4 linked regions of the Saccharomyces cerevisiae S288C genome follow. The gene in region 4 interacts genetically with the main gene of each other region. Each region holds a gene or a part of one and is shown on either strand. Other genes may lie near its edges.

Region 1 (8,226 bases), on a different chromosome or scaffold from region 4:
TAACGTACTCATAGTAAAGCTGCTCTTGGTCACGTTTGCCTTCTGATGAATTCGATTCTTTGCTTCTAACGGAATCACCATTACGATATTCTTGGGGTTCATCTTCATCAAAGCTGACATACCCTTCTCCTTCATCCTCTTCCTCCTCTTGACACCGTACATTGTCCATTTGCATTATGTCATTAATGTAGTCATCGACTGTACCCATAGTGCGCTCTCCCTTGTCGTATACAGCATCCTCTTCTTCATCTTGCAACATGTCTCCTTCTTCAGCTATATCGCCTAATATGGCGTTGTATTTCTCCTTTAGATCCTCTAGAACATCCTCCGTATAGGCAATCCATTTACTCTCAAATAAAGAACTCATTACTTCAGTATTTTCAAAGGTGATGTTCATCTCTTCAATATATGCAGTAAATTTGGTGACTTCTTCCGCAATTAGGGTCAAATGGCCCATATATCCAAGCCTGGTGTCATGTCCTTTCTCATATTCTATGCATTCATTGTTTCCGTTAATAATCATATCAGTTAAACGGATGTTGATTAGGAGATCATCTAAAAGGAACCTATTATAACCTATTTTGAGGGGACCGTTAAAAATCTGCTGAACAACATCGTACACTACGTTATGAAGGAAATTGTTCCACTGGAAGTGAAAAAACATTTCGAGCATAGTATCTATTACTCTGGTATCTTGTAAACTGATTTTCAGCTGATCTCCAACGTTGGGAGACACACGAAAGTTTTTTTCTATATCAGAAGAATCCAAAATGACGTCTGAATATTGGGGTTCAAATGGATTTTCATCTTCCTCGTCCTTAAAATCACCATTGTTGAAGTCTGGCATTAAACTATGTTGCTCTTCATTATTCATGTTCTGGTTTACTTTGTTGGTTTCTATCTGTAAAGAATTTAACTTATCGATAACTTCTTCACCATCAATGGAGGTATTAGCGGATTCTACCTGATTTGTATCATCTTCCACTTCATCATCAGCATCACCTGTATTGTCGTCTTCATTTTCTTTTAATTCACTACGATCGTTAGAATCTACGTAATTTTGTGAATTGAAGATTCTCTCTCTTTCGGCATCACGCTCTCTTACAATGTCATAGGCACTCGGTTCATTCAATAAAGTCATGTTTGAGCAGTGTAATAGTTCAGCAATAAGTTCACAGATCTTAAACCTTTCAAATCCCAACGGTTCAATCGTTCCATAGGACGTCTGTAAAAGGGGAATCTTCTTCTCAGTTAGTATTTTGTTGAAATCGGCCATGTGTTCAGAAAACATTTTAACCAAATATCCTAAATAAATTGGGTCTCTATCTGTTGGCGGATGAGATTCTATGGTAGTATAATTTGTTTGTATGGTATCATAATCAGAATTGTTTTTCCTTATCAGCTCAATGATAATGCCAACGCCATTATTTAACGAATTGCCTCCCTTGAGCATTATATCCATAAGTTGTTTCATCATATTTGGAGAAACTAATTGCCTTGTTAATTCATTAGGCCCTATGCTCGAAGTAATCTCATTAGGACAGTTACCGCTAATAGTAACCAGAGCTTTCAGAAAATCACCGGCTGCAGATTGTGTGCAAGAATCAAAAACAGGATCGAGTAAATGAATCAACTTTGGAACCAAGTTCTGTTTTTTAAACAGTTGTATAACTCCATTTGATATTTCTGGCTTATCGGTCGATATTACTTTTAATAAAAAATCCATCAAAGGCGGATTATCTATATGTGCTAAAAAATCGTCAACAATGTGTTCCTTTTTTAATATGAATTCAATTATTCCGTCCATATTCATATCCAAGAGGCGTTCGTTTATTTTCATAAAATATGTTGACGCTTCAATTGACAATGGAGAAGGTAGCCTGAGGATCGACCAAAGCTTAGCGAGAAGTCCTTCGTTTTCAATCAAAGCAGATGATATGGGCCACACGTCAGCGGACAATATTTCGGCCGCTATTCTGGCTCTTCGCGTATCATCATGTTCCTCTAGTTCATGAGGTAGAGTGACTCTAGTATCCTCAGATGCACTATCATTTTCTTCATTTTCCAGTTCCTCTTCTTCACCACTACGAGTACGTTCTTTTTCTTCAAAAGTACCATCAATGTTTTTCTTATCTGCTTTAGCATTCTCAAAGTCCTCCGTTGTGTCCTTGTCTTCACCACGTACTAAATCTCTGTCTTCTGAAGTAACTCTATCAATATTGGACTCAAGTATGGTACTATTTCTGACATAATCTATCAATTTGGACAAAACTTCAGGGTACTTCAAGTACACTAGTAGCTTGAAGTTCGAGCACATCAGTTCTGTATATAACTCCTCATCATCTAAAAGATCATTCAGTAGAGACAGGTTTGGCTTATAAGCTTTGTAGTCTTCTTCTCTGTTAGGCAGCTCATATTCTTCTTCTTCGTCTTCTGATTTAAAAGAATTGCTTTCTAAACTTTCATCTGTGCTATTAGAGTCAATTTTCCCTGCTTCCGTACTAGTGGGCTTATCATCGATCTTAATGAAAGCCCTGTTCAACAGTTTAGCTAATGGAGACTGTGAACCAAAATCTTGTCCAAACTTCCAAAAGGACCCTGACATATTTTTTCCTAATTATTAAATGGGCAAAACGATAAACGCCACTATTCTTAAACACTAACTAAAACGAATTTTTCAGAATCTCTAATCAACTAAAATTAGCATGTATTACCTCAAGCTAAAAATATTTAAAGATCTTAGTAAAATATATCTTTTGCGTACCTTTCCCAAATACACAAGCTAAACTACCCTTATCAAGCAGATCTGGTGAAATTTTAAACAAAAATAGTCCCGTTCGATGACTTCGAGCGATGCCCAAGCTTTTCTCATTCTCTTCGGAGTGTTTTGGCGTTAGCCGTCAATCCCTCGCAAAAAAAATTTTCTTCCCAGTTCAAAATGTAAAAAAAAAAATAAAAGGTATACGGTTACCCTTACCCTCAGTCCATCCAACCGTAGTGGTTATATAATAATACTAAGAGCACCGTTTTGTTCAAGGTTGTACTGTGTGATCTAGGTCGGCTATCCACGCAAGCATGGCATCGATCATGACCATGATTTCGTCTCCTATGGAAGGTTGAAGAAGGATCTTATTACGCAGTATATGCGTCCCCAATTCGTTGCATAGCTTTTCTAGCAGTTGCAGATTAAATATCTGGCAATAATTATAATACCTGCAATCATATGATATTTTCTTAATTAATAAACTTATTATGGTATCTGTGTCTAGTAATGTAACCTCTTGAATATTTTTTGGAGGTTGCAGGTATATTTTTAGCAGCTGCTGGCAACTTACGGGGTCGAATCGAGCTACTATGCTTGTTCTTAGACAAGCTACGGCATCTTCCCAATGCCAGGTACGCAGCATGATCAAACCCAAAAGTTCCCACTCTAATCCGCTGTGTTTTTCATCTTTATTGCTTAGGCTAATCTTGCTCAATTTCAAGTCTTGATATAAATCTAAAAATAAATCATCTAGCCACCCTTCACAAAACCTTTTCTTTCGGGATTCCATCGGTATATGACCGTTTTCATCGATAATGTTGTTAGAAGCTTGATAGAATTCAGTTTCCATCATGAAAGCTTCTGTTCGGATGTTTAATAAGCCATTCCAACCAATTTTGTTCACAATTTCCATTAATAACCCATATATTTTACCACTAAACCATCCCAATTGTTTGCCGATCGTATTCCTTGCTATTAAATTGATATTTTTTATGTTTTTGACCTCTTGAGGGGAGACATAATTAATCAGATTCACAGATTGTGGACCACAAATCGGACCCAACTTTATCGCAATATCATCCCAGATTTCCTTTGTATAACCGATTTTTTTTTCGTTTATCATTGCGATTCTTCCAAAAATTTGCCGTTTTAACTCATCCTCTTTCCAATTCCTCAACGTTCCCGAGAGATTCGTGAATTCCATTGCAGTCAAGTCGTAGTGTTCGCGGGTACCATTCAATGGCTTTTTATAATAATTGGAGGTAAGAAACCTACTGTACATTGTTTCCAGGTGTCCATCATTTTTGCGCAAACGAGGCATTGAATTTATTGCGAAGAGAGCCTTTTCATACTCCTCTTTTTTGATGTGGCATCTCGCTAGGTTGTACCAAGATTCAAAAGAGTCTAAGGCTAGTTCGGTTGATGTGTTAGAGACGCCTAATGCTAGTTCGTAATCACCCCTGTTTAACAAAAAATTTGTTTGAATGTTCAGCAAGTCACTCATGCAATTCATTAATCGTGCTGAATCAGCATCGCGAGGCGGTAAATCATTTAGCAGAGATAAAAGGGGGTCGAGCGTCTCATTTAAAATAGTTATCATGTCTAACTCCTTTGTTTCTATGTGATCTAGAATTGTGATCATAGCCGTCTTGTAGTATATGTCATGGATTGGATCTTTCTTGGTAAGTCCTTTCAGGTAGTCGATTGTAAAATCCACTAGGCTTGGCGTGATTGCAATAAAACTTTTTAAACTATACATTAAATAGTTATTGACAATGGTGGCTTGCATACTCTTGGTAGAATCCCACCCGCAATTCAGTGACCGTGGTAAGAATCGGCAGAGTAATTCTATGATCTTTTTGCAAGAGGAGATAGTATCTTTTCCAACGTAGAATGGACACTCTACTAAACCGGGAGGTTTTAACTCTGGATTAGTATTTGTTATTATCGCTCGGATGACAGAACTTGCGAACGTTTCTTCCCACATTTTTTCTGTCATGGTCAGGTCAGTGGTTTCCTTGTTACAGTCAATTGCCGTTGTCTGGAAAGTATCGTCAGCATCGTATCTAATACGGATGTCTAGATTGCTGAAAAAATTAAAACAGCAATAAGTCAATATGATATTATTCGATATATTTTTGGAAATCCGCTTACTCGATTTTAGCACTTCAAGAAACTCTACGGGCATTGCAGGACCGGAAACTTCGATCCCTGTAACGTAGAAATATTCACCAAACTCTTCTTTTTCATGTTTGTTTAAGTAGGACATGTGAACAATCTCAATGGGACCTAGTCCAACATTGCCAGAAGAAATTAAATCCTTGATTAAATGCGTTCTATTGTGCAGACACTCACCAAACTGCCTTTCCATAATTCGTGGACAACTTTTAAATATGTCTCGATTGAGGAATTGATAACCCTTTTGTACTGAAGGTGAGTTCCCAGGTGTATAATCGCCACCAGGTATTTCATTTTGCTTTTTGGTTTCCGATGGCCAAAACAAATTCATAAGGGCAATAGATGTAATCCTTTTTTGCACCAACAGCTTAAGAAAGGTGTTTGCTTTTAATGTGAGTTAAGTAATGTAATGATTTGTTAAGATCCTCTATTCCTTTTTGAGTATCTATTTATTTTCCTAAATTCTTCAAGGCTATTTTTACCATGAATCCGCTAAGATCTGTTTGGGTTCCGATTTTTCGAAGACACACAAAAATAATAGCCGGTTGCTTTCTAACACTACAGAAAGAGGTTTTTTCGAAAGAGTCTATTTCCTATATGCTAAAGTAGAGTTATGATTTCTTTATATTGAGTATGTATTGAATTATTTTCCAAAAAATCAACACCAGGTGAATACGGGGGTGGAATTGACTATTTGTAGCCGCTCTGCTATCACTGTTTTATTAGCAAATGGGTGCAGAGTGGAATCATAGTATACAGGATTACTATTGCTTTGGTTATGTGCATGAAATGGAATTGTGCTTGGGGTGCTAGGGAGTACCATTGGTGAAGTGGAATATGATCCAATAGGTTCGTCTATGGCGTTTTTGAAAATAGAAACTGGAGGTGGGCAACAGGGAACTTGCATCTTCTCATCTATTACCTGGCACCTTGTCCTTCTAACCAATTCCAAGGGGCCTTGTCGTGGGTCTTTCAATGTTTCGACAACGTTGAACGCCTGTCCTTTTAATACTGCCCATTGCTTCTTCCACATTCGGACGTTAAAATCTTGGTCCCTGCTAAATAGGGCCAAGAATTCTTGGTACGACTCTTCCCACCAATTAGTGCTTGTCAATATCGGTAGGAAATGAGATCTCATTTGCTCAGAAAATGGTTTGGCTAGTAGTTGCAGAGGCAAATACAACCAGCCATATGGGTACAGACGCCACTCATCAGGATGCTTCCAGGGAAAGGACAACCCATTGTCGATGGCGGCTAACTTGAGTCTCCACTTATTGTTTGAAAGTTTGATTAGTTTCACCATCCAATTGTCTAGACCTCTATCTGTGTTTCTCATTATATAATCAAGGATAATTAGTTTTTCTAGTTCCAATCTGAACTGACTCAAACTTGATTCTGTCCATTCAAATTTCGAATTTTCTTCAGATTCCGTCGAAATTGGAGAGGAATTTATTTGCTTGGACGGTTCTGTCTCATCTGTTAGGTTCCTGGTTGTCTCTGGTTTATGATTGATATCTTCGCCGGATGACTTACGATGAAATGAATGTTTAACATCTGAATACATCCCAGGTAATGGGTATTTATGAAAGAACTCATCGGCGTTGATGTACTCCTTCAAAAAAAGTTGGAAAGAACCCAGCTTTTTTTGTTTCTTCTTCTGAAGGTTGTATCCCAATACCCATTTTTTTCTATTATCATAAAAATTAAAAGACTCTATAGATGCAGTATCTGTATAGGGTACTAGATGCGTTTCCAGTCGCCTATCCAACAAACTAGCCGCACTTTCACAGATGTACCCGAGGTTTGGAATCAGACAACTTCTGCCAAACAGACATGGGAAAAACGTGCGGTGTGCCCATTTGGTCCATTTGGGAGAAAATGGGCCATATGGTTCCTCATCCTTGGGCTTGAAGACCCCCACCGGAACGCTTTCGTCGGCCCGTGTTCCATACACAAAGTACGACCCACTTGAGCCAGTTTGGATTCTCTCGAGTTCGCGTCCAAATGTCTCTACAGCCTCAATACAGTCAGAAACCAAATGGTTGAAGTTTTCCCTCTGTTCTTGTTCTTCTTTTCTTCGGAGCTGCTCATATGCTAGGCCCTTGGTTGGATATGCATGCAGCGGACGAAATACCGAATATTGAATCTCATATTGACTTCCTTCTTCTTCTTGCCCTGACGCTTTGTCCTCTGCATTATGAAGCAGTCCAACGGCAGGATTGGACCCTGAAGTCTGATCAGGTCGCGGGCTCTCGGACGGTACGTTGACCAGAGATTGATAGGAAGGGTGGAATACCTGAGGGGCCTCCGCTATGTCTGAATTCTGTGCATTCGAACCGACCCCTGGAGAAGCGTGCGTTATCGGGTTCTTACTTTTACAGTGATCTTGCTCATCACGGAACTGTAACCAATCGTAGCTGTTCACAACTATCTTCTGGTGAGGATTTACGGTATGATCATGCTGGTAAGCTTCGTTACTCATGCTTTGGTTGGCTTCTTGAAAGTGTCTAGTTCACTTTATGCCCGGTTATAAACATAAACTTTCACAGGGTTCTCTTTGATCACCTCTTTGTTTAATCTTATGAATCCAAGGGATTTTATCGGTCAAAGGGGAAATCAATGCGAAAGACAGTAATGATGAGAGAAAAACTCTCCGTAACCACCAAGTTTGGTTCAGCGCGACGAGATTTTTATCGATTATCGAGAAAAATACCTGTATATCTACATTTCTATGTCAGTGATATATACTTCTTAGATAAGTTATGCCACCAGTGCATACGCTTACGCACACACACGTATTCTTGTGCACACGCCTGTTACTTCTTGCAGACATCAGACATACTATTGTAATTCAAAAAAAAAAAGCGAATCTTCCCATGCCTGTTGCTGCTCTTGAATGGCGACAGCCTATTGCCCCAGTGTTCCCTCAACAACCTTGGTAGTTGGAGCGCAATTAGCGTATCCTGTACCATACTAATTCTCTTCTGCCCAACGACGGCTGCCATTAGTCAGCATGGCGCGCACGTGACTACAACTGTGGCTGGAAACCTTTTCGTCCTCCCCGGTTTTTCAGTGAGCCGACTCTACTACAATGCTTTTTCATTTTTCACTCAGAAAAACCTGCAATTTGCCAAATTGGCCATGCTCTGTGCCTCCCTTGACAAAGGACATCTTCCCTGTTTATAAACGGCGGCTTACCAAAAGTTGAAGCTTGTTCTTGCCTCTTATGAGTGGAGCAATCGATTATATTGAATCGTTGTGCTGGAGTAGTTGGATCTTTCCAC
Region 2 (7,822 bases), on a different chromosome or scaffold from region 4:
TTCTTTGACTAGTAGTTTTTCTTGAACCAAAGAAAGGTCACCAGAGGCAATAGACTCTTCAATCTCATTGATTCTTTGCTTGGCTTCTGCAGTGGACGAGAACTTGGCCTTTTTGCCTAACTTCTCCTCAATTTGGTTGTTTTTTCTCTTGATTTGAGCATCCAATTGCTTAATAGAGTCGTGAATGTTGCTTCTACGGGTTTTCAAGTCAGCTTGGATCTTGATGATCTCCTTGTTCTTATCCTGTAACTTCTTACGTTCTTGTTGGGTGGTATCGTTGACCTGGTGTTGATCGATTTGCTTTCTAATTAAACCGATTTCAGTGTCGATTTTTTTCAATTGAACGTTAAGAGTGTCCAATTTCTTGTCTCTAACGGAGACATCTGGGCGCTTGAACTTGTGTTGTTGGGAGGACATGGCAATGGCTGTGTTGTTAGAAAATATGCTATTACGTTGATAAAAGGAGGAAAGGTGAAATCAGTTCAAAAATGTGAATGAAACTGAACGAAGAAATGACCAGAATGAGTGAAAAATGGAGATGGAGGGGCAAAATGAAAAAAAAAAAAAGGATGAACCTAAAATAGAAAATAGACTCCGTCGTACTTTAATGCTATGTATAACGCAACCAAGCAATTTTCGAAACTCAATTTGGCTTATAAATGTTCGAGATAAAATGCGAATTACGTGTTCAACGTCGTCGAGATCAGTTATTTTTTTTCACCGCCACAGTGCGGGTAAGCAATTTTTCGCGTACCACCACCATTACACATGTATAATGTATATAGGCTTATTATGTATGTTTGTGCTACTTTATATGACGGTTATTTACAAGTTAGAATATTATCTATTAACAATGCAGTAGCCACGCTTACGTTTAGTGAGTCAACAATGGGTTCTGGGGCCCGATTGCCTTTCTCAATGCCACCAAAGGGAATTTCGACGAAGAAGTCACTCCTCATCTTCAAATTCGTTCTTACGCCCTGGCTTTCGTTCCCCACCACTAGAACAACAGGCAGCTCGTTACATAATCCGTTCAAATCGTGCATGCTAATAGTTTTTCCAACAGTGTATTTTTCTGACGTGGCATTAGCTAAGTGGCTTGTAATAAACGTCCAGCCACCCATTTCTTGTGATTTAGTAAAAAACTCTAACGGTTTATCAACGTAAAATATGGGCAGAAGTTCGAGGGCCCCACTGCTTGTCTTGGACACCACAGGCGTCAAAGGAGAGCAGTTTCTTCTCGACATCACAATGAAGTCAACCCCCAGGAAGTAAGCGCTTCTAATAATGGCACCGATATTGTGAGGGTCAGTTATTTCATCCAGATATAACCCGAGAGGAAACTTCTTAGCGTCTGTTTTCGTACCATAAGGCAGTTCATGAGGTATATTTTCGTTATTGAAGCCCAGCTCGTGAATGCTTAATGCTGCTGAACTGGTGTCCATGTCGCCTAGGTACGCAATCTCCACAGGCTGCAAAGGTTTTGTCTCAAGAGCAATGTTATTGTGCACCCCGTAATTGGTCAACAAGTTTAATCTGTGCTTGTCCACCAGCTCTGTCGTAACCTTCAGTTCATCGACTATCTGAAGAAATTTACTAGGAATAGTGCCATGGTACAGCAACCGAGAATGGCAATTTCTACTCGGGTTCAGCAACGCTGCATAAACGCTGTTGGTGCCGTAGACATATTCGAAGATAGGATTATCATTCATAAGTTTCAGAGCAATGTCCTTATTCTGGAACTTGGATTTATGGCTCTTTTGGTTTAATTTCGCCTGATTCTTGATCTCCTTTAGCTTCTCGACGTGGGCCTTTTTCTTGCCATATGGATCCGCTGCACGGTCCTGTTCCCTAGCATGTACGTGAGCGTATTTCCTTTTAAACCACGACGCTTTGTCTTCATTCAACGTTTCCCATTGTTTTTTTCTACTATTGCTTTGCTGTGGGAAAAACTTATCGAAAGATGACGACTTTTTCTTAATTCTCGTTTTAAGAGCTTGGTGAGCGCTAGGAGTCACTGCCAGGTATCGTTTGAACACGGCATTAGTCAGGGAAGTCATAACACAGTCCTTTCCCGCAATTTTCTTTTTCTATTACTCTTGGCCTCCTCTAGTACACTCTATATTTTTTTATGCCTCGGTAATGATTTTCATTTTTTTTTTTCCACCTAGCGGATGACTCTTTTTTTTTCTTAGCGATTGGCATTATCACATAATGAATTATACATTATATAAAGTAATGTGATTTCTTCGAAGAATATACTAAAAAATGAGCAGGCAAGATAAACGAAGGCAAAGATGACAGAGCAGAAAGCCCTAGTAAAGCGTATTACAAATGAAACCAAGATTCAGATTGCGATCTCTTTAAAGGGTGGTCCCCTAGCGATAGAGCACTCGATCTTCCCAGAAAAAGAGGCAGAAGCAGTAGCAGAACAGGCCACACAATCGCAAGTGATTAACGTCCACACAGGTATAGGGTTTCTGGACCATATGATACATGCTCTGGCCAAGCATTCCGGCTGGTCGCTAATCGTTGAGTGCATTGGTGACTTACACATAGACGACCATCACACCACTGAAGACTGCGGGATTGCTCTCGGTCAAGCTTTTAAAGAGGCCCTAGGGGCCGTGCGTGGAGTAAAAAGGTTTGGATCAGGATTTGCGCCTTTGGATGAGGCACTTTCCAGAGCGGTGGTAGATCTTTCGAACAGGCCGTACGCAGTTGTCGAACTTGGTTTGCAAAGGGAGAAAGTAGGAGATCTCTCTTGCGAGATGATCCCGCATTTTCTTGAAAGCTTTGCAGAGGCTAGCAGAATTACCCTCCACGTTGATTGTCTGCGAGGCAAGAATGATCATCACCGTAGTGAGAGTGCGTTCAAGGCTCTTGCGGTTGCCATAAGAGAAGCCACCTCGCCCAATGGTACCAACGATGTTCCCTCCACCAAAGGTGTTCTTATGTAGTGACACCGATTATTTAAAGCTGCAGCATACGATATATATACATGTGTATATATGTATACCTATGAATGTCAGTAAGTATGTATACGAACAGTATGATACTGAAGATGACAAGGTAATGCATCATTCTATACGTGTCATTCTGAACGAGGCGCGCTTTCCTTTTTTCTTTTTGCTTTTTCTTTTTTTTTCTCTTGAACTCGAGAAAAAAAATATAAAAGAGATGGAGGAACGGGAAAAAGTTAGTTGTGGTGATAGGTGGCAAGTGGTATTCCGTAAGAACAACAAGAAAAGCATTTCATATTATGGCTGAACTGAGCGAACAAGTGCAAAATTTAAGCATCAACGACAACAACGAGAATGGTTATGTTCCTCCTCACTTAAGAGGAAAACCAAGAAGTGCCAGAAATAACAGTAGCAACTACAATAACAACAACGGCGGCTACAACGGTGGCCGTGGCGGTGGCAGCTTCTTTAGCAACAACCGTCGTGGTGGTTACGGCAACGGTGGTTTCTTCGGTGGAAACAACGGTGGCAGCAGATCTAACGGCCGTTCTGGTGGTAGATGGATCGATGGCAAACATGTCCCAGCTCCAAGAAACGAAAAGGCCGAGATCGCCATATTTGGTGTCCCCGAGGATCCAAATTTCCAATCTTCTGGTATTAACTTCGATAACTACGATGATATTCCAGTGGACGCCTCTGGTAAGGATGTTCCTGAACCAATCACAGAATTTACCTCACCTCCATTGGACGGATTGTTATTGGAAAACATCAAATTGGCCCGTTTCACCAAGCCAACACCTGTGCAAAAATACTCCGTCCCTATCGTTGCCAACGGCAGAGATTTGATGGCCTGTGCGCAGACCGGTTCTGGTAAGACTGGTGGGTTTTTATTCCCAGTGTTGTCCGAATCATTTAAGACTGGACCATCTCCTCAACCAGAGTCTCAAGGCTCCTTTTACCAAAGAAAGGCCTACCCAACTGCTGTCATTATGGCTCCAACTAGAGAGTTGGCCACCCAAATTTTCGATGAAGCCAAGAAATTTACTTATAGATCCTGGGTCAAGGCCTGCGTCGTCTACGGTGGTTCTCCAATTGGTAACCAACTAAGAGAAATTGAACGTGGTTGCGATCTTTTAGTCGCTACTCCAGGTCGTTTGAATGACTTGTTGGAACGTGGTAAAATTTCTTTGGCCAACGTCAAGTATTTGGTTCTAGATGAAGCTGATAGAATGTTGGATATGGGTTTCGAACCTCAAATTAGACATATTGTCGAAGACTGTGATATGACTCCTGTTGGTGAAAGACAAACTCTGATGTTCTCAGCTACTTTTCCCGCTGATATCCAACATTTGGCCCGTGATTTCTTAAGTGACTACATCTTTTTGTCTGTTGGTAGAGTCGGTTCTACTTCAGAAAACATTACTCAAAAAGTCTTATACGTTGAAAATCAAGATAAGAAGTCAGCCTTATTGGATCTATTGTCTGCATCCACTGACGGTTTGACTTTGATCTTTGTCGAAACTAAGAGAATGGCAGATCAATTGACCGATTTCCTGATCATGCAAAACTTTAGAGCTACCGCCATTCATGGTGACCGTACCCAATCTGAGAGAGAACGTGCCTTGGCCGCCTTCAGATCTGGTGCCGCTACTTTATTGGTTGCCACAGCTGTCGCAGCTAGAGGTCTAGATATTCCAAACGTCACCCACGTTATCAACTACGATTTACCAAGTGATGTCGATGATTACGTCCATAGAATTGGTAGAACTGGTCGTGCCGGTAACACCGGTCTTGCCACTGCCTTTTTCAACAGTGAAAACAGTAACATTGTTAAAGGTTTGCATGAAATTTTGACTGAAGCTAACCAAGAAGTCCCATCATTCTTGAAGGACGCTATGATGAGTGCTCCAGGTAGCAGAAGCAACAGCCGTAGAGGCGGTTTCGGTCGCAACAACAACAGAGATTACCGTAAGGCCGGAGGCGCTAGCGCAGGCGGCTGGGGCTCTTCAAGAAGCAGAGATAACTCTTTCAGAGGCGGTAGTGGCTGGGGTAGCGATTCCAAGTCTTCTGGCTGGGGTAACAGCGGTGGTTCAAACAACTCTTCTTGGTGGTGATTTCAGACAAACTAGGGTGAGGATTCTTCGTTTTCTGCTCTAGCATGTCTTATATTTTCTTTCTCCAATCACTTTTTTTATCCAAGTCCTGAAAATACTGTGTTGTTTGTTTCTCTCTAGCCGTTGATTGGCCCCATATTTTTTTTATTTTCTCACTGGGAGCCACTAATCTGTTACTTTTTTTCCACTCTTATTTTTTATCCATCGTTTTTTTGTTTTTTTTTTCTTTCATGGTTCTAATATTATTTTACAATTGTACTATAAAATGCCTTTGCTAATATTAACTAAAAAACTAAAGATTTCACTATGATTATAAGCAATTAAGATTTTCATCTTTTAGTGAAAAGATGAAGGAATTATTATCTACTTTTACTATATTTTCCACTATTTTTGCTTAATTGCTTTAACCGATCTATTCATTGGACTGATTATTTACATTATCTTTTATTTCCACTTCCACTTTTTCAGTTTTCTTCGAATAGAGACTTTATTTTGAACAGTTTTTTCGACCTTTTTTGTTTGTTATTGTTTCTTTTTACCTTACGAAAATATTCTTACTGTTCACAGTACCATTGTATAATAGTATTCATTTCCTTCCTACATTTTCTCTCCCTTTTTTGAGTTGAGGCCTTTTTATTGACTCGCCTTATACTCTACTTTATTTGTGTTTTGTAGATAGAATAAACATCAACAGTATAATTCATAATACTTTCTATTGCTTATTTCCTGTATATTCGTTTTTGAATATACTTTGTTCCCAACTTTCTTTTTAGTTTACTTACATTCATATTTACATGTGCGTTACTACTTATTGGTGCAACCAAGTGAACAGCGAGTCTTACCATTGGTAGTACCAATAGGGATTCTTTTTTTTTTCTAGGTGTTGAACCAAATCATAAGGATCATCGTCGACAAATCTTCTAGCAGATAAATCTTTCTCGGTTTTTTCTAAATACGACTTCTTCACTGCGTTCAAAGTATCAGCTTCATCCGGGGCCATCTCATACAGGGAACTGATGATCGGTCTATCTCTGGGACAGCTTGACTCTTTACCATTTGTTTCAATGTAACGCTGGTAGCCAGACTCAATCAAGTTTTCTAGCGGTTCCCTTATACCTACTTGGATACCCCTAGGTATCCATATCTCATGTAGTCCTTTGAACTCATACCTCCCAGTTGTCCTTAATAAAATATATCCTATATCTTTCAGAACGATCTCTATACTTCCAATAAATGGAGGTATTGCGTACCTTTTGTACTGGCTTTTTTCGCATATAACGCTTTTAATTCCACAATACCGTGATAACGGATGTGTGCCAGATGATGAATTGCACGAGTTGAATACATCAATACCTTTTTCAATGTTCTTGAATGTTTTTGATGGTCCTGGTATGTATTTCACAATCTGATTTATGGATCCTTTCGGAGGTACCAGGTAGAAAATCCCTCCCACGGTATAACAGCCTCCCTGTGATGTGCCCTTCATAGACTCATAAGTCTTCTGTTTTATATGCTTCCGATTGAATAAATCGGTTTTTCGCAGCCTTTGAAGCCAACGCTCGTCGATTAGTTCTTCTAGGCGTAATCTGGAGGTGGAAGTTGAATAGCCTGGAAGATCAAAAAGTATTTTACCTCCAACTTGGTAGGCTTGTACGGATCTAGTTAAATTGGGAATATGTGATACACCAGCAGCTTGAATCTTGAAAAAATTCTTCGGGTTCGTAAAAGCTTCTTGCATCACTTCTTCAGAGGGGGAGTTAATTTTCCCAGTAGAATCAATTTTAACCTTATATCCAAGATATTTCTGTAGTAGAGTATTGATCAAAGTTGATTTACCAACATTAGGGTTGCCTAGCAAATATGTGTAGTTTTTAAAGTAGTTGTAAAACATGGATATGTTCCAGTTTTTCAGCGCAGATATGGCGAATGTTTTATTTGAGTCAATTCTTAAAGTGTTCTTTAAAAATTGCTTCATGAATATAGGAACCTTTTTGCTGACAGCATTTTTATCTTTAAAAACTTGATCGCTTTTCGTTAACACTAATGTAGTATCTAAATCATTTCGTTTCAAAACATTGGGGTCTAAATGTAAGGGAAATTCTACAAAGGGGACAATATGCATAACATTTGAGCCTCTGGGGACGTAGTTCAGAATATCATTTAATGTGCTTTCGGGAAACTCTTCCGGGTTATAATTGTTATGATGAAGGGCATTACTGCACCTTTTGCAAATCACTCTCAATAGTAAATCTCTTTTGGTTTTGAGGTCAGGATCATTTTGAGTTGCCTGTTTCGAGAGCTGTATGTCTTGACTGAATAGCAAATACTTCAGATCTTGGAGGTCAGGATTTAGTTTTGAGTCGGGTAGACTTTTTGGCTTCGTATAATATCCTGGTTTACTAGGATCCTGATCCTGTAGTTTTATGGAACATGACGCACATTTCACTTTCACAATCACAGAACAGGAAAACTGACGTACGCCTCGAAGAGCATGACACAGATTCAACATTCCCGCATATTGAATTGTTCAAAGTAATTAGACGTGTTACTAGGAAGGTCCTTCGTTAATATTGCTCTGTTAAATGTATCTTGACCCATAACATCAAATAGTAGTTATCATCTTCGACGAGTTTTGAAAAATTTTCTGAATTTTTTCTTCCGATGAGATGAGCATGATATTTACAGAGAAAATAGAGAAACAGAATACTTGTACATGGGTAAATTCATTTATACTAATTTTTGAAT
Region 3 (8,253 bases), on a different chromosome or scaffold from region 4:
TAATTTACCAGACTTCAATCTTCCGTACCTTTTACTTGGCTCCACCGAATCGGGTAAATTGTACATATGGGAGTTAAATTCAGGGATTTTATTGAACGTGAAGCCTATGGCTCATTACCAAAGTATCACCAAGATTAAGTCCATTTTAAACGGCAAGTATATTATTACTTCTGGTAACGATTCGAGAGTTATTATATGGCAAACTGTTGACTTGGTATCAGCGTCCAATGATGATCCTAAGCCTTTATGTATCCTTCACGATCATACTCTACCCGTGACAGATTTCCAAGTTTCTTCTAGTCAAGGAAAATTTTTATCATGTACTGATACGAAACTCTTCACAGTATCTCAAGATGCTACCATTAGATGCTATGATTTGAGTTTAATAGGCAGCAAAAAGAAGCAGAAGGCAAACGAAAATGACGTTAGTATTGGTAAGACCCCAGTATTGCTTGCGACATTTACAACTCCTTATTCTATCAAATCCATTGTACTGGATCCTGCTGACAGAGCATGCTATATTGGTACTGCGGAAGGTTGTTTTTCATTGAATTTATTTTATAAACTAAAGGGTAATGCTATCGTTAATCTGCTACAGTCCGCCGGAGTAAACACAGTTCAAAAAGGTAGGGTTTTTTCCCTAGTGCAACGTAACTCACTAACTGGCGGCGAAAATGAAGATTTGGATGCACTATATGCAATGGGCCAACTTGTCTGTGAGAATGTCCTAAATTCAAATGTGTCATGCCTAGAAATATCAATGGATGGTACATTATTATTGATCGGTGATACGGAGGGGAAAGTTTCTATTGCGGAAATTTACTCAAAACAAATCATTAGAACTATCCAAACTTTAACTACATCACAGGATTCAGTTGGAGAAGTGACCAATCTCTTAACCAACCCTTACAGACTCGAACGTGGAAATTTACTTTTTGAAGGAGAATCCAAAGGCAAACAACCTAGTAATAATAATGGTCACAATTTTATGAAGATACCAAACTTACAAAGAGTTATCTTTGATGGTAAAAACAAAGGCCATTTACACGATATTTGGTATCAGATAGGAGAACCAGAAGCAGAGACAGATCCTAACCTCGCATTACCACTTAACGACTTTAATGCCTATTTGGAGCAGGTCAAAACGCAAGAATCGATATTTTCACATATCGGTAAGGTGTCAAGCAATGTAAAAGTGATTGACAATAAAATCGACGCCACTTCATCTTTAGACAGCAATGCCGCTAAAGATGAGGAAATTACAGAACTTAAGACCAACATAGAAGCATTAACTCATGCCTACAAGGAGTTACGTGACATGCACGAAAAGCTGTACGAGGAACACCAACAGATGCTTGACAAGCAATAAACGGAATAGTCGCGCATTTTGTACAATAAAATAGGAATGTTATTAAAATATACAGCATAGATAGATATAATTCATCACTTGTGCGAAACATCTCATTCTCAATCTGACTGATCATCTATTACGGAATTTTTTCGTTATCAATGACGCATCCCACAATTCCTACCCTTATAGCTTATCTCAGAATATGGGCCGCCTTTAGTTGTATAGAGTTAGTACGGATTAGTCAGTGGCGTACCTAGTGGCAACAATCGGCAGTGACTAAAAATCTTGCTTTTGTTATTGAAAGAATAATAAACAGGAGTTCTCGTTCCTTTGCGTCATTTTCAACCCCATACAAACTAGTTGGCTTGTACCAGAACTCATTAATACTTTTGTCTAACTCTTTCCTATTTCTGATTTTCCAACAGCTCATACCCATTCAAACAAAAAAGGAAAGCTCTACGAAACATTATGTCTTCATTAACTCGATTGCTACAGGAAAAACGAAAAAATGAAACTTCGAACTCATCACCGAGAACTTCTGCTGATACGTTGACCACGACGCCCGAGTCACAATCGCTTGACCTTCACTCTAGGAATAAGAGTAGTAGTCATATTGGTAGCGTGAGTAATAGCAGCAGTAGTGATCGTAATAGGGCTAACGTGCCAGTTCCTGGCAGTGTCACAACTGTTACTCAAATATACTCAGAGGAAGATTCATCATCAACAGCCGGTTCCTCTCTCGACGATAGGAATCAGTTTTCCTCCAGCTTCCTTAATGCAAACTTTGCTCACACTGCATCATTCTACGGCACAAGTGCACAAAGTAGAGATAGATTTGGATCCTTAATAAACGATCAAGGTACTGCAGGACTTTCCTCACATGGTGGTTCTTTTGCTGCACAGAACAGAATCACAAGTAGATTATCTACCACGTCACATACTTCAGGAAGGGCCATTCCTTCTTTATCATCAAGTATACCTTACTCCGTGCCAAATTCTAACAAAGATAACAATAGCTCGAATAGCAACAGCTCCTCTTTGTCTTCTTCGTGGCTCGAAACATATGCAGGCGGTATGCCCAATAATATTTCTGCAATCGATTCAAATGTTATATCCTCCCCAAAAGTAGATAGCGTGGAACCACGTTTTGTTATCTCCAAACAAAAACTCCAAAAAGCATCGATGGATAGTAATAATGCAAATGCCACTCAATCAAGATCTATATCCCGTTCAGGTTCATTCTCTTCACAGCTTGGGAATTTTTTCTTTTCCAAAAACTCAAAAGAATCTTCAAATTCTAACTCTGCAGGCATGTCTTTTTCTGCCAATTCCAATGGTCCTTCTCCAAACATTAAGAATCCCAATGTTACCAATGGTTCGACGCCTATCCCGAAGCCTATCCGCGCAAGACAAAGCAGCATATATTCTGCATCAAGACAGCCAACTGGTTCCTATACTGATAACTTTTACGGTTCCCCCTCATCTGTACATGACCACTTACCTCCAAGTCAAAGTGTTCCAAGGTCACAACATTCTTCCATCGGTGATTTAAAGAGGTTCTTCAAAAAAAGTTCTAACAGTAACCTTTCCTCGAATAGTAACAACGTGATCCCGAACGGATCACCTCTTTCTAGCGGAATTGCCGTTCCGTCACACTCTCATTCATCGTCTCATTTTGCCGCAGGGAATAACTCATATTCCACTAGTTATAACGGAAATGGAGATACTATTTATTCTCATAGTCACGGCGGTTCAGGAATTCCGTTCTCAAAAAGGTACATCAAAACCGGTGCCGATTTAGGCGCTGGAGCAGGAGGTTCTGTCAAATTAGCTCAAAGAATTTCAGATAACAAAATATTTGCAGTGAAGGAGTTTAGAACTAAATTTGAAAATGAATCCAAAAGAGATTATGTCAAGAAAATTACATCAGAATACTGTATTGGTACAACTTTGAATCATCCCAATATCATTGAAACAATTGAAATCGTGTATGAAAATGATAGAATTCTCCAAGTTATGGAATATTGTGAATACGATTTATTTGCTATTGTAATGAGTAATAAAATGTCCTATGAAGAGATTTGTTGTTGCTTCAAACAAATACTTACTGGTGTACAATATTTGCATAGTATCGGCTTAGCTCATAGAGATCTAAAGCTAGATAATTGTGTTATAAACGAAAAAGGTATTGTAAAATTAATCGATTTTGGTGCTGCTGTGGTATTTTCATATCCATTCTCAAAAAATCTTGTGGAAGCAAGTGGAATTGTTGGAAGTGATCCATATTTAGCACCTGAAGTCTGTATATTTGCGAAGTATGACCCACGTCCCGTAGATATTTGGTCTTCTGCAATCATTTTTGCATGTATGATACTGAAGAAATTTCCATGGAAAATTCCGAAATTAAGGGACAATTCATTCAAACTATTTTGTTCCGGACGTGATTGCGACTCCTTAAGTAGCTTGGTTACAAGAACTCCTGATCCACCTTCCTACGATGAATCGCACTCAACAGAAAAGAAAAAACCCGAAAGCTCTTCCAATAATGTATCAGATCCTAATAATGTTAATATCGGGCCACAAAGATTGTTGCACTCATTACCAGAAGAGACTCAGCATATTGTTGGACGTATGATTGATTTGGCGCCCGCATGCAGAGGAAATATCGAAGAAATCATGGAAGATCCTTGGATCCGTAGCATTGATATGTGCCACTTGGTTGAAGATGGATTATCGTTCAAAGTGGTTAGAGGAGAAGACCATCATCACACACAAGTGGATCAAAGTGAAGCACATATTGCAGGCCTAGAAAAGAAAAAGAAAAAGCAAAATAATCAATAAATAAGCGTCCCCACTTTTATTTCTTTTCCAAGCATTTGTATATAACCTTTTTTTATCCTATTTGAGTATATGTTAAAATACAATGTCATATTTACTTCTGTTAAACTAATTTCATATTTTACCGTTCTATAGAAGCCTAAATAGATTGACCTCCTGTTCATAATCTACTATTTTATCAGAAAAATGTAAAAGCTTAGTATGATAATAATTAATGGAAAAGTTCGTTAAAATATCGCGCCACTAATTAATAATAATGAAGCGGGTAACATTAATTGTCTTACCAAGGCGACAATTCCCTTTTCTAAAATTTCACAGCAAAGAAGCTTTAGAAAGTGCAGTAAATCTACAACTCATAAGAAGGAAAAAAAGCGTGAACATTCAAATCGACAGCGTAACCTTCTGTATTTATTTCTGTTTGTTGTACTTTCGAACTCTCGAATACCATAGAGGAACTATTAGTCTCCATAATGTCACAGGCAGCAAAAAACGTGATAGTAAAGCTAATAGTAGGAGCAGGCCAAGCGGCACCATCACCTCCCGTGGGGCCCGCATTGGGCTCCAAGGGTATAAAAGCCATTGACTTTTGTAAGGAATTTAATGCAAGATCAGCAAACTATCAGCCAGGTGTACCGGTTCCAGTATTAATCACAATAAAACCTGATAGAACATTTACGTTTGAAATGAAATCTCCACCAACCGGATATTTGCTGCTAAAAGCTCTTAAAATGGACAAGGGACATGGACAACCGAATGTGGGGACAATGTTAGGCAGTGCACCTGCCAAGGGACCAACCCGTGCTTTAGGAGAGTTATCGCTGAAGCACGTTTACGAAATAGCCAAGATAAAAAAGAGTGATGAAAGGCATAGTTTATTGGAGATGGAAGGTATTGTTAAATCAATAGTTGGCGTTGCAAAAAGTATGGGTATTAAGGTTGTACCTTGATCTGTAAGTAGTGAAAAGACAAAAAAGTACCGTCAATTTCGAGAAATTTTCAACAGACCTTCCTTCTTCTTTCTACTGATCTATTCTGTAAATATGTATATAAGTTTTAAATTCTCTTTCTCCCGTTATGTTAGCAAAGCTCGGTAGTACTGAAGCTATTCTGAGTAAACGCTTCTCCAACTCTGTATACTGAGAGTTGTTTTATAAGTCAATAAAGACCGGATATTTATATGTATATATTGATTTGGTATAATAAAAATGAAATGCTAATAAAAATGCCTATGAAAAGAGGAAAATCCAGGAATATCGAGTTTTTTCATTTGGTGAACTTCCTTTTTTTATTTTTTTTCCATTTTTTTCTGTTATTTTTCTTGCTATTAATCTTCAATGGGCGGTTATTTGGTTCGTTAACAGCCTGTTCCTGTTTGGATTTAGAGGTAACATTACCAGTGGCCATGGCAGATTTCGCCAATGGCAATGGAACCGATTTTGGAGTTAGCCTCGTGTATAGGAGATAATATGCGTTGGGTTCCTTTAAAACGTCCCTTTCAGATATTATATTAATATACTCGTCGTCGTAAGTGGCCCAGCTACCGTCTGGTTGCTTGCAGTGGGCAATGTAGTGACCTGAAGAAAGGGAGCGGCCCTCATGAACCACCACGCTTAATAGTTGGTATTTGACAGGTAGCTCTTTACTCTCACAATATTCCGTCAAATCTAAAAACATAGGATAAGAAACAGCTTGCTTCATTTTTGATGAGGACGTGCCATTGAATCTGAATTTTTTCAGATGCACAAGTAAAGTTTCAGGAGCCCTTAATATTGAACTATGCTTCACGGCGTTCGTGGTCTTGTGACACTTCTCACAAACGTAACCCTTTTGCTCCTTGTCAACCTTGATTAATTCGGGATTGAAGAAATCTTTAATTGATTTTTCAATAGAAAATCTGCGGTTGGCTGAACTTAAATCACTGGCAGCGGCAAATGGTGAGCCATTGTTTAAATTGACAGATGAAGAGGATGAAAGAGATGGTTTTGTGGCAGCATTGGAGGTAGTGGTAGAAGTGGTGGCTGAAGTGCCGTTAATGCTATCACTCGACAGGTCAGAATTTGGATCAAGTTTTTTCTTCCCTTTCAAGTGCAACGATAAATCGTAAAATGGTTGTTCTGTTTTAGATATACTGCCACAAGATTTGCAAGTAACGATCTGCTTTAAAAGACCACCGAATATGTCATATATTATCGATTCTATAAGTTTATGACCCTTGGGAACAGAATCTTCCTGTAATCTTGACATCAGAGACATGAAGTACTCATGTGAATCTTCCTGCTGCCATTCGCTCATCATACAATTAATGTCATCCAATCTGGAAATCAAATGTTTTGGATTAATGTAGGAAGCTGAAACGTTCTTTCTAGGGTTTTTTGAGACCGGTAACCACATTTTTTTACTTGTTTCAGCTAAAGTATAGGAAACGGAATTTTTTGAGATGGTGCTATCGTATTTCCCCATTAGTATATCAAAAAGATAATGTTGTATCGAAGGAATGTGTAACATAGCCTGTACAGCAGCATTTGTGTAACAAGTAACACCATGATTCAAAAGGCCACGAGGCTTCAAATTGGTGAATTTGTCGCCCCAATTTTTAACAATTCTAGTAGAGTTTAAAGAACCACGATCATTGATATTTTCATTGAATTGGTAAAAGTTTGATAGATTTGATATTGTAACCGGAGGGGTGATTGACCTAGATTTATGTTTCAGCTCTTCTTCCTCTTCTTCCTCCTCCTCTCCCTTTGGATTCCTGTTTCCATTTTCTTTGGTGTTGTTTACTGGTTCGTACCGATTTACTTCCACTGTACTATTTTCCATTAAATCTTGATATAAACTCTTTTTTTCGCCTTCAGAAATTTTGGAGCTGGAATCGTTCTCCTCTTCTTCAGGGAGCTCTTTTTCCATAGCACTAGAATCATAATCCATGTCATCCTCATCCTCGTCGTCTTCTATTTCGTCATCACTGCTAATGCTTGTAGACAGTTCCTTTCTTTTTTCCTTTTCATTCTCATTAGATGAATCATCAATGGTTGCTAATGGAGAACCCAAGTTTTCACCAATGTCTTCACCAATGTCTTCACCGATGTCTTCACCGATGTCTTCACCGATGTCTTCGCCGATGTCTTCACCATCGCCCTTATCTGCGTTGTCGCGTTCCTTCAAACTAGCTTTTCGGGGTTCTACATAGTCTCTTGCCTCATGAAATATTTCACCCTCTTCCTCTTCCTCTTTTCCTACTTTGTCATCTTCCGAAGAAGAGGAAGGAGGCTCCGTAGAAAGCTCCGTAGAAAGCTCCGCTGACTTCTTGGCACCAGTAGCATCTGCAGCATCTTTATCATTTTTAGAAGTATACAACAATAAAGCTTCAGCCATAGATTTAGGAACAGTGTTGGTTTTCTTTCCGTTTGGCCTGTCTATCAAGTTATTTTCTTTTATTTGCTTGGATTCGGCCGTTGCAGCAATAGCTGTGCTATTACTATTGTTATTATGCTGTTTTCCTATCACAATATACGAGCTATTTTCCGGCGCGGCGGAAGTATCATTATTATTCGATTTGTTAGAGATCATTGCAGCATTGAACTGCAGGGGATTTGATAGGATTCTATCTACCAAAGGTTTGATCGATTCTTGAGTGGTCATAGTCTGTGATTGTGATATGACAATAGGACGGATTTACAGATACTATGAGTTGTAGATTCTTTCCGTTAGTTTTTCTATGAAATATTATGTGCAGTACAGAACAAAAGAGGCTTCAGACACTATGCATGCTCCTGTGTGCAGTATATGATGCTTAATAGCTTCTATGAAACAAATAAAGGACAGAAGCGGGGATGGAAGACTCTGTTAATGCTTTACAGGGAAGTTTTTCCCGATGGTGGCACTATATAAAAATAAGAACTTTTTTCTTTTCTTTTGGGGATTTTTTTCGATGCGAAAAAAATTTTTTGACGGCATGAGGCAAGAAGTGAACAAAAGAGGTGGTGTCTGGGGGATGCAATTTAACTTCTTACTTGTGCGCGTTCATCGGAGAAAGCTGGCCGGGTGATACACGAATACGGGTT
Region 4 (6,947 bases):
ATGTTCCGAGTAAGCAGAGGCGTTTCGCTCTATTTAAGCAACTGTTCCATTTTCATCTGCGCCAAATGATAAACAGTGTTGATTTCTCTTTCCAGGGCATTAATAAACAGAGTATAAATTTTAAATGCGTAGTATCTATTTGACATGACGAAATTGTAGAAATTCAACAGGTCCACAGTCAAAAACTGCTGCGAACCACGCATATAAATACCGATACATGTTACTACCAACGTCAAATACAGGAATCTTTTGACCAGAGTAATGAAGTTCATCAACAACTTGTAAAAGACATAAAATGTGAAGAAAATAAACAATAGTTGGAAAACTAACGGGTGTGATTGGCTGAACTTAGTAATAGTAGGAATCAACCATTGGATGACGTCAATGGCAGACTTTAGGCATTGTGTTACTACGGATAGTTCGTATTGCGGTTGAGTAGCGTCCATTTTTGGGTTGCTCACTTTGCCCTTTGGTGACTGTTACGAAATTTTTTTCAGTAGCTTTTTCTCTTCCAGTAATTATATTTTCTCTACAAAAAATATACTCACTACAAAAGCCAGCAAATAAATGATAATATTCGTACGACACTAGAGAATATGATATTGTATTAAGTAAATATATATATATAGAGAAGGAGAGAGAAAGACAAGAACAGGGCGGCTATTAAGCGTCGTCTTCGTCATTCATAGAGATAGCTGTCTGTGGCTTTTCTTCTTCTGCAACCTCAGGCTTTGCTTCCGGCTCTTCCGCAAATGAGTTGGATAGGAACTCTTTCATTAGGCCAGCCGAGGTTTCAAAATACTCAGCTTGAGCCTTGGCCAATTCCTTCAAATCTTCACTGAAGTTAGCGTGAGAAATAACCTCCTGCAAGCACACAGTAGCGTCTTCAGTGACTTGAGCAAACTGGTCTTCCAAAGTCTCCATTTGGACTCTCAAGGAAGCTTCCTTTTCTGGCTTCTTGTTGTTTGCCAAGTTAGTTCTTGCCACGTCATATCTTAATCTCATGGAATGGACATCCTTGCGGCACTTATCGGCCTTACCGATCTCAAAAGAGAGCCTTTCCCTCAAATTTTTATTGAATTTGGTTTGAATCAAGGTATCTTGTTGAATTCTAGCTTGAGCAATCTTAGCCTGCACATCACTGAATTGCAAGAGTGCCGAAGCCAAGGGTTGTTCCTCGGTGGGGAACATCTTGTTCAAACATTCACTGGAGTTCAAAGCCACTTTACTGAGGGCGTAGTTCAACGTCTTGGGTTCTTTGATGGGGCCTGGAGCAACTAAGATGTTTTGTGCCTCAGACGCAGATGTAGCATGAGTCAACTCTGTCAACTTGGAAGCCACGCTTCTTGAAAACTCGTTGACGGATTCGTTGATGTATTTAGGGTAATCGTACGATCCGTTTTCGTAGATAGCAGTTACACCCAAGAAGTGGTTGTAAATCAGTTTGATGGTGTCAACCTTATCTTCCAGCTCTGTGTACTCTCTTGGCAATTGGGAGATGTCCGTCACCTGGCCCAAACGTTCCTGGACCATTCTTTGGGTGGATTGCGCCAAACTGGGCAATTCCTGGGTTTTTTCGGAAACACTTGTGGATATTTCCTGTAATTTCTTGCTCAAAGAGCTGGCGAAGGCATTAAACGACATTGATGACTATGATTTGTTGCTTATTCCACTCCTCTGCCTACAAATCATATAGGTTATAGGTGAAGAAGGTTGCAATTTTCTTGTTTTTGACATCCCGATTAATCCACCGCTCGCTTCTCACGGTAATAAGGGAAAATGTCTGCCAGTATGAAGCAAACAACATTAAACTGAGAACATTGGTGAGTCAAGACCATAACTGGAAGACGTGGTATCAAGACGCCTTCACGGTAGTATGTGGAAGATTATGCGTTCATGGAAATGTGGGGGAATGCGCTGGGCACATCGCCAGCGACCCTCACACGAGCTGCTGTCGCAACTGTCGTTCGACCAGCATTACAAGATTAGGTCGAACATTGAGCTGCTGATACAGGACTACGCTAGTAAACCAATTGCGCCCCTAAACTACGAGTATTTCCTGCAATACAGGCCGCCGCTGACCAAGAAGGAGGAGTACATGCTGACGATCAAGACAATCAACCTGTTGCTTTCATTGACGTGTAAACGGCTTAATGCCATTCAGAGGCTACCGTATAATGCGGTAATCAACCCTCATATTGAGAGAACCAACTCTTTGTATTTGAAAAGCTTGCAAACGTTGCTATCAATCGCATACCCGTACGAGTTGCACAATCCTCCCAAGATACAGGCCAAGTTCACAGAACTGCTGGACGACCACGAGGACGCCATTGTGGTATTGGCAAAAGGTCTTCAGGAAATCCAATCGTGTTACCCAAAGTTTCAAATTTCGCAGTTCTTGAACTTCCACCTGAAGGAGAGAATCACGATGAAGCTGCTTGTGACGCACTATTTGTCGTTGATGGCACAGAACAAAGGTGACACGAACAAAAGGATGATTGGAATCTTGCACCGGGACCTCCCCATAGCACAATTGATCAAGCACGTTTCTGATTATGTCAATGATATATGCTTTGTGAAGTTCAACACTCAGCGGACCCCGGTCCTAATTCACCCGCCATCACAAGACATCACATTCACGTGCATTCCGCCCATTCTGGAGTATATTATGACAGAGGTATTCAAGAACGCTTTTGAAGCTCAGATAGCTCTTGGAAAGGAACATATGCCCATAGAGATCAATCTTTTAAAGCCAGACGATGACGAGCTGTACTTACGGATACGGGACCATGGTGGTGGGATCACGCCCGAGGTAGAGGCCCTCATGTTCAACTACTCTTACTCTACACATACCCAACAATCAGCTGACTCTGAGTCTACAGATCTGCCCGGCGAGCAAATCAACAACGTCTCCGGCATGGGCTTTGGTCTACCAATGTGCAAGACGTACCTAGAACTGTTTGGGGGCAAGATTGACGTTCAAAGTTTACTTGGCTGGGGCACGGACGTGTACATCAAGCTCAAAGGCCCTTCTAAGACTGCACTACTCTCCAAAAAGTAACAGTGCTAAATTTCCTCGTAAAGCGGTACCATTAAGGGCTCTTTCTACTTCTTTAAATTATCTACATATGTATAAATATTCTTATTATATAAGGCGAAAAAATGAACGAGAAAAAAAAGTGTTGAAAGTATGCATTCAACTGGCTCTTCAACAAGAGACTCAATCAATTAAGCAATCGAAGATGGCTATTGATGCTCAAAAGCTTGTGGTGGTCATCGTGATCGTGGTCGTGCCTTTGCTCTTCAAGTTCATTATCGGACCGAAGACCAAGCCTGTGCTGGATCCCAAAAGGAATGACTTCCAATCATTTCCGCTGGTTGAAAAAACCATCTTAACGCATAATACTTCGATGTACAAGTTCGGGCTACCTCATGCTGACGACGTACTCGGTTTACCAATTGGTCAGCATATCGTAATTAAGGCCAATATCAATGGTAAGGATATTACCAGATCGTATACGCCCACATCGTTGGATGGAGATACAAAGGGAAACTTTGAATTACTAGTGAAGTCTTACCCCACAGGTAACGTTTCTAAGATGATTGGAGAGTTGAAGATAGGTGACTCGATCCAGATCAAGGGCCCTCGTGGGAACTATCATTATGAGAGAAACTGCCGTTCCCATCTAGGGATGATTGCTGGTGGTACTGGTATTGCGCCCATGTATCAGATCATGAAAGCTATTGCCATGGACCCTCACGACACTACCAAGGTCTCTCTAGTCTTTGGGAACGTCCATGAGGAGGATATTCTGTTGAAGAAGGAACTGGAAGCGTTGGTGGCCATGAAGCCTTCCCAATTTAAGATAGTTTACTACTTAGACTCTCCTGACCGTGAAGACTGGACTGGTGGTGTAGGATACATTACCAAGGATGTCATCAAGGAACACTTGCCCGCTGCTACAATGGACAACGTTCAAATTTTGATCTGTGGTCCTCCAGCCATGGTTGCCTCAGTTAGAAGAAGTACCGTGGACTTGGGGTTCAGACGTTCCAAACCGCTTTCCAAGATGGAAGACCAGGTGTTTGTGTTTTAAGATAAGGAACTGTAACAGAGTGCCATATATATATATATAGATTGGAACATATATAATATATACGCTATTTAGTTTAGTCACCTAAACGCACCGTTTCCATATTTCGTGCTGGACGATTTTCGACTCGATAATACGTATAAGATCGGTACTAATAGTAACAAAAGTAAAGGTAATACTTGCTTCAACTGTACAAAGGAGCATAGAACGTGGGGCAATTTACAAGCGATGTCGACGTCAGTCCCAGTCAAGAAGGCATTAAGTGCTCTTTTACGCGATCCAGGAAACAGTCATTGTGCCGACTGTAAGGCGCAACTACATCCACGCTGGGCTTCCTGGTCACTTGGTGTTTTCATTTGCATTAAATGTGCTGGTATACATAGATCATTGGGAACGCACATTTCGAAAGTGAAATCTGTTGATCTGGATACATGGAAGGAAGAACATTTGGTGAAACTGATACAGTTCAAAAACAATTTAAGAGCTAACTCATACTACGAAGCTACTTTGGCTGATGAATTGAAACAGAGGAAAATCACTGATACGAGCAGTTTACAAAATTTCATCAAGAATAAATATGAATATAAGAAGTGGATTGGTGACCTCTCCAGTATTGAAGGGTTAAATGATTCTACTGAACCAGTTCTGCATAAGCCGTCTGCGAATCATTCGTTGCCTGCTTCGAATGCAAGATTGGACCAGAGCTCAAATTCATTACAAAAGACGCAAACACAACCACCTTCCCACTTATTAAGCACCTCAAGGAGTAATACGAGCTTATTAAACCTACAGGTTTCATCGCTTTCTAAGACTACATCTAATACAAGTGTAACTAGTTCTGCAACAAGCATAGGTGCTGCTAATACCAAGACTGGCAACAGAGTCGGTGAATTTGGGCAAAGGAACGATTTGAAAAAATCCATTTTATCTTTATACTCAAAACCTTCTGCCCAGACTCAAAGCCAGAACTCATTTTTCACTTCCACGACACCTCAGCCTTGTAATACTCCGTCACCATTCGTGAACACTGGAATTACCGCTACAAATAATAATAGTATGAATTCAAATTCCAGTTCTAACATTTCATTGGATGATAACGAGTTATTTAAGAACGTCTGGAGTTGAATAAAAAGTAAAAAAAGAAAGCAAATATAGAAAGCAACAAAAAGAACATCATTCCAGTATATTATTTTATATAAAGAAAATGACCTTCAAATAAAAATAGAAAGTACGTATTCTTATCTTTTTTTTTTCTTTTGTATATGTAAAACAATACTATTAGTTTTTGTTTTTTTCTTTAATGGAATGGGTTTCTGAAAAGACTATGTTTCATCTCGTAGTTATCATTGACGTCTGTTGTGGGCCCTGTCCTCGTTTCATTCGTTACCACGTCAATTTTATAGTTTGCCGAATCATTATTGTCCCAATATTCCTTCCTAGAACGATCAACGCCCCAAGTTAAGTATTGAATACAAAACTCCAATTGTGATATATTGCTATCTTTATCATTTGGATTGTGTATATCATCAATGGAGAACTTAAAAATATCCATATTGCTTCCTGGTAAGATGCCATTGGCATTAGAAAAATACACGCATTCTGATTCATGAAAAGTTCTCCATGCATCCCATGTATATCTTACGATAATCTTCTTATCAAAGTATATGTTTTTCACAAAGACTTTGCCAATTATAACCATGTTGTGGAAGCCAGTTAGTAGCGTAATTTCTTGCAAAAAAACGGGCCTTCCACGGGAAAGATTCAGAAATATGTTAAGTTTTAAACTCTTACGGTTCCTGTCACTTAATATTGGAAAGTTCTTGTTGTAAAGACCAACAATTCTTTTAGAGTTTCCAATAAACAAGTTGGCTCCTGATTTAGCAGAATTTGTTCTTGTTTCTAAATAATCGTCGTCATCGTTTATTAACAAATTCTTCAACCCGTGCGCAAGATGAGCTTGGTCTTTGTCTTGTTGCCTTACTAAACGGTTTATAGCGTCGTCACTATCATTGTCATTTTCAATATCACTGTCATCGTCACTTAGTTTAAACTTCTTTTTTTTATTTCTACGATTATTAGAATTTGTACCAAATAGGAATACACCCTTCGGGTTTTGTAGCCATGTATCTCCATATTCGTTTTGGTTGTTTTCAGATAGTAAATCTTCTATAGGTACGCTATCACTACCGCCATTAAGGGCACTTAGTCTCGTCAAAGGCTTATGCTTGAAATTCAGAACATCTTGTTGAACCATTTGTTTGCCAACATCTATGGGTTTCTCATTTTCATTGAACAGCTTTATTGGTAAAACACGATCGAAATGGACACTTTTACTTCTTTGCAATAGCCTAGTATCTACATGATCTAAATTGACATGTTTACTCTTAGAGCCAGTTTTGTTGAATATAGATTTGGGAGTAATGGGTAGGGACTTGGATCTTCTTTTTAATGAACTCTTAACCAGTTCTCCAGATTTCTTGTAAATGGGAGGTGAAGGATTACCATTTTCCTCGGATTCATACTGGAAATTATCATGTGATAGAGGAGAGATTTCGTCTTCCTCCTCGCCTAATTTACTGACGTCTTGATGATGTGCGTTAAAGTTCGCTCCAGAATTTATAAACGGGTGATGGGCATGAACTTGTTTCCCATTAAAATACATTCCCTTATTCATGTCCGTATTTCTTTGAAGCTCGTCCTGAGGTAATCTGTGCAGTTTTACATTAGATAGTCTCCTGGGCTTGTGCAAAAACTCCAGAGAGTTCAGCCTGGCAGGGTGCATGTGCATGCTCATACCAGCAAAAGTTCTTATATTCGCATTTATGTTTCCATAGTTATTGTTGTGGGCACTGT

Evidence for each region.
Region 1: of AGE2 (region 4) and CHS6, changing one suppresses a phenotype caused by changing the other (phenotypic suppression), as found in Saccharomyces cerevisiae (one study listed by BioGRID).
Region 2: mutations in AGE2 (region 4) and DED1 together harm fitness more than expected from each alone (negative genetic interaction), as found in Saccharomyces cerevisiae (2 studies listed by BioGRID).
Region 3: mutations in AGE2 (region 4) and NPR1 together harm fitness more than expected from each alone (negative genetic interaction), as found in Saccharomyces cerevisiae (2 studies listed by BioGRID).

The regions. Positions count from the first base shown.
Region 1 is NC_001142.9:236,461-244,686, reverse strand, and holds CHS6 (Chs6p), read right to left. Parts: upstream 5,274-8,226; coding exon 3,033-5,273; downstream 1-3,032. Other genes in the region: SAP185 (Sap185p), read right to left, coding at 1-2,605; 1-phosphatidylinositol 4-kinase LSB6, read right to left, coding at 5,601-7,424. UniProt on the Saccharomyces cerevisiae protein: Member of the CHS5-ARF1P-binding proteins (CHAPS) which mediates export of specific cargo proteins, including chitin synthase CHS3.
Region 2 is NC_001147.6:719,649-727,470, forward strand, and holds DED1 (DEAD-box ATP-dependent RNA helicase DED1), read left to right. Parts: upstream 1-3,262; coding exon 3,263-5,077; downstream 5,078-7,822. Other genes in the region: BFR1 (Bfr1p), read right to left, coding at 1-417; MRM1 (Mrm1p), read right to left, coding at 822-2,060; imidazoleglycerol-phosphate dehydratase HIS3, read left to right, coding at 2,298-2,960; GEP3 (Gep3p), read right to left, coding at 5,916-7,586. UniProt on the Saccharomyces cerevisiae protein: ATP-binding RNA helicase involved in translation initiation. Remodels RNA in response to ADP and ATP concentrations by facilitating disruption, but also formation of RNA duplexes.
Region 3 is NC_001146.8:289,076-297,328, reverse strand, and holds NPR1 (serine/threonine protein kinase NPR1), read left to right. Parts: upstream 1-1,819; coding exon 1,820-4,192; downstream 4,193-8,253. Other genes in the region: chromatin-binding/pre-rRNA-processing protein IPI3, read left to right, coding at 1-1,369; YNL184C (uncharacterized protein), read left to right, coding at 4,446-4,772; mitochondrial 54S ribosomal protein uL11m MRPL19, read left to right, coding at 4,660-5,136; ubiquitin-specific protease UBP10, read right to left, coding at 5,453-7,831. UniProt on the Saccharomyces cerevisiae protein: Nutrient-regulated protein kinase that promotes the activity of at least 6 distinct transport systems for nitrogenous nutrients under conditions of nitrogen catabolite derepression.
Region 4 is NC_001141.2:271,222-278,168, reverse strand, and holds AGE2 (GTPase-activating protein AGE2), read left to right. Parts: upstream 1-4,322; coding exon 4,323-5,219; downstream 5,220-6,947. Other genes in the region: APQ12 (Apq12p), read right to left, coding at 30-446; GVP36 (Gvp36p), read right to left, coding at 664-1,644; protein kinase PKP1, read left to right, coding at 1,877-3,061; CBR1 (cytochrome-b5 reductase), read left to right, coding at 3,243-4,097; putative protein phosphatase regulator PIG2, read right to left, coding at 5,392-6,947. UniProt on the Saccharomyces cerevisiae protein: GTPase-activating protein for the ADP ribosylation factor family.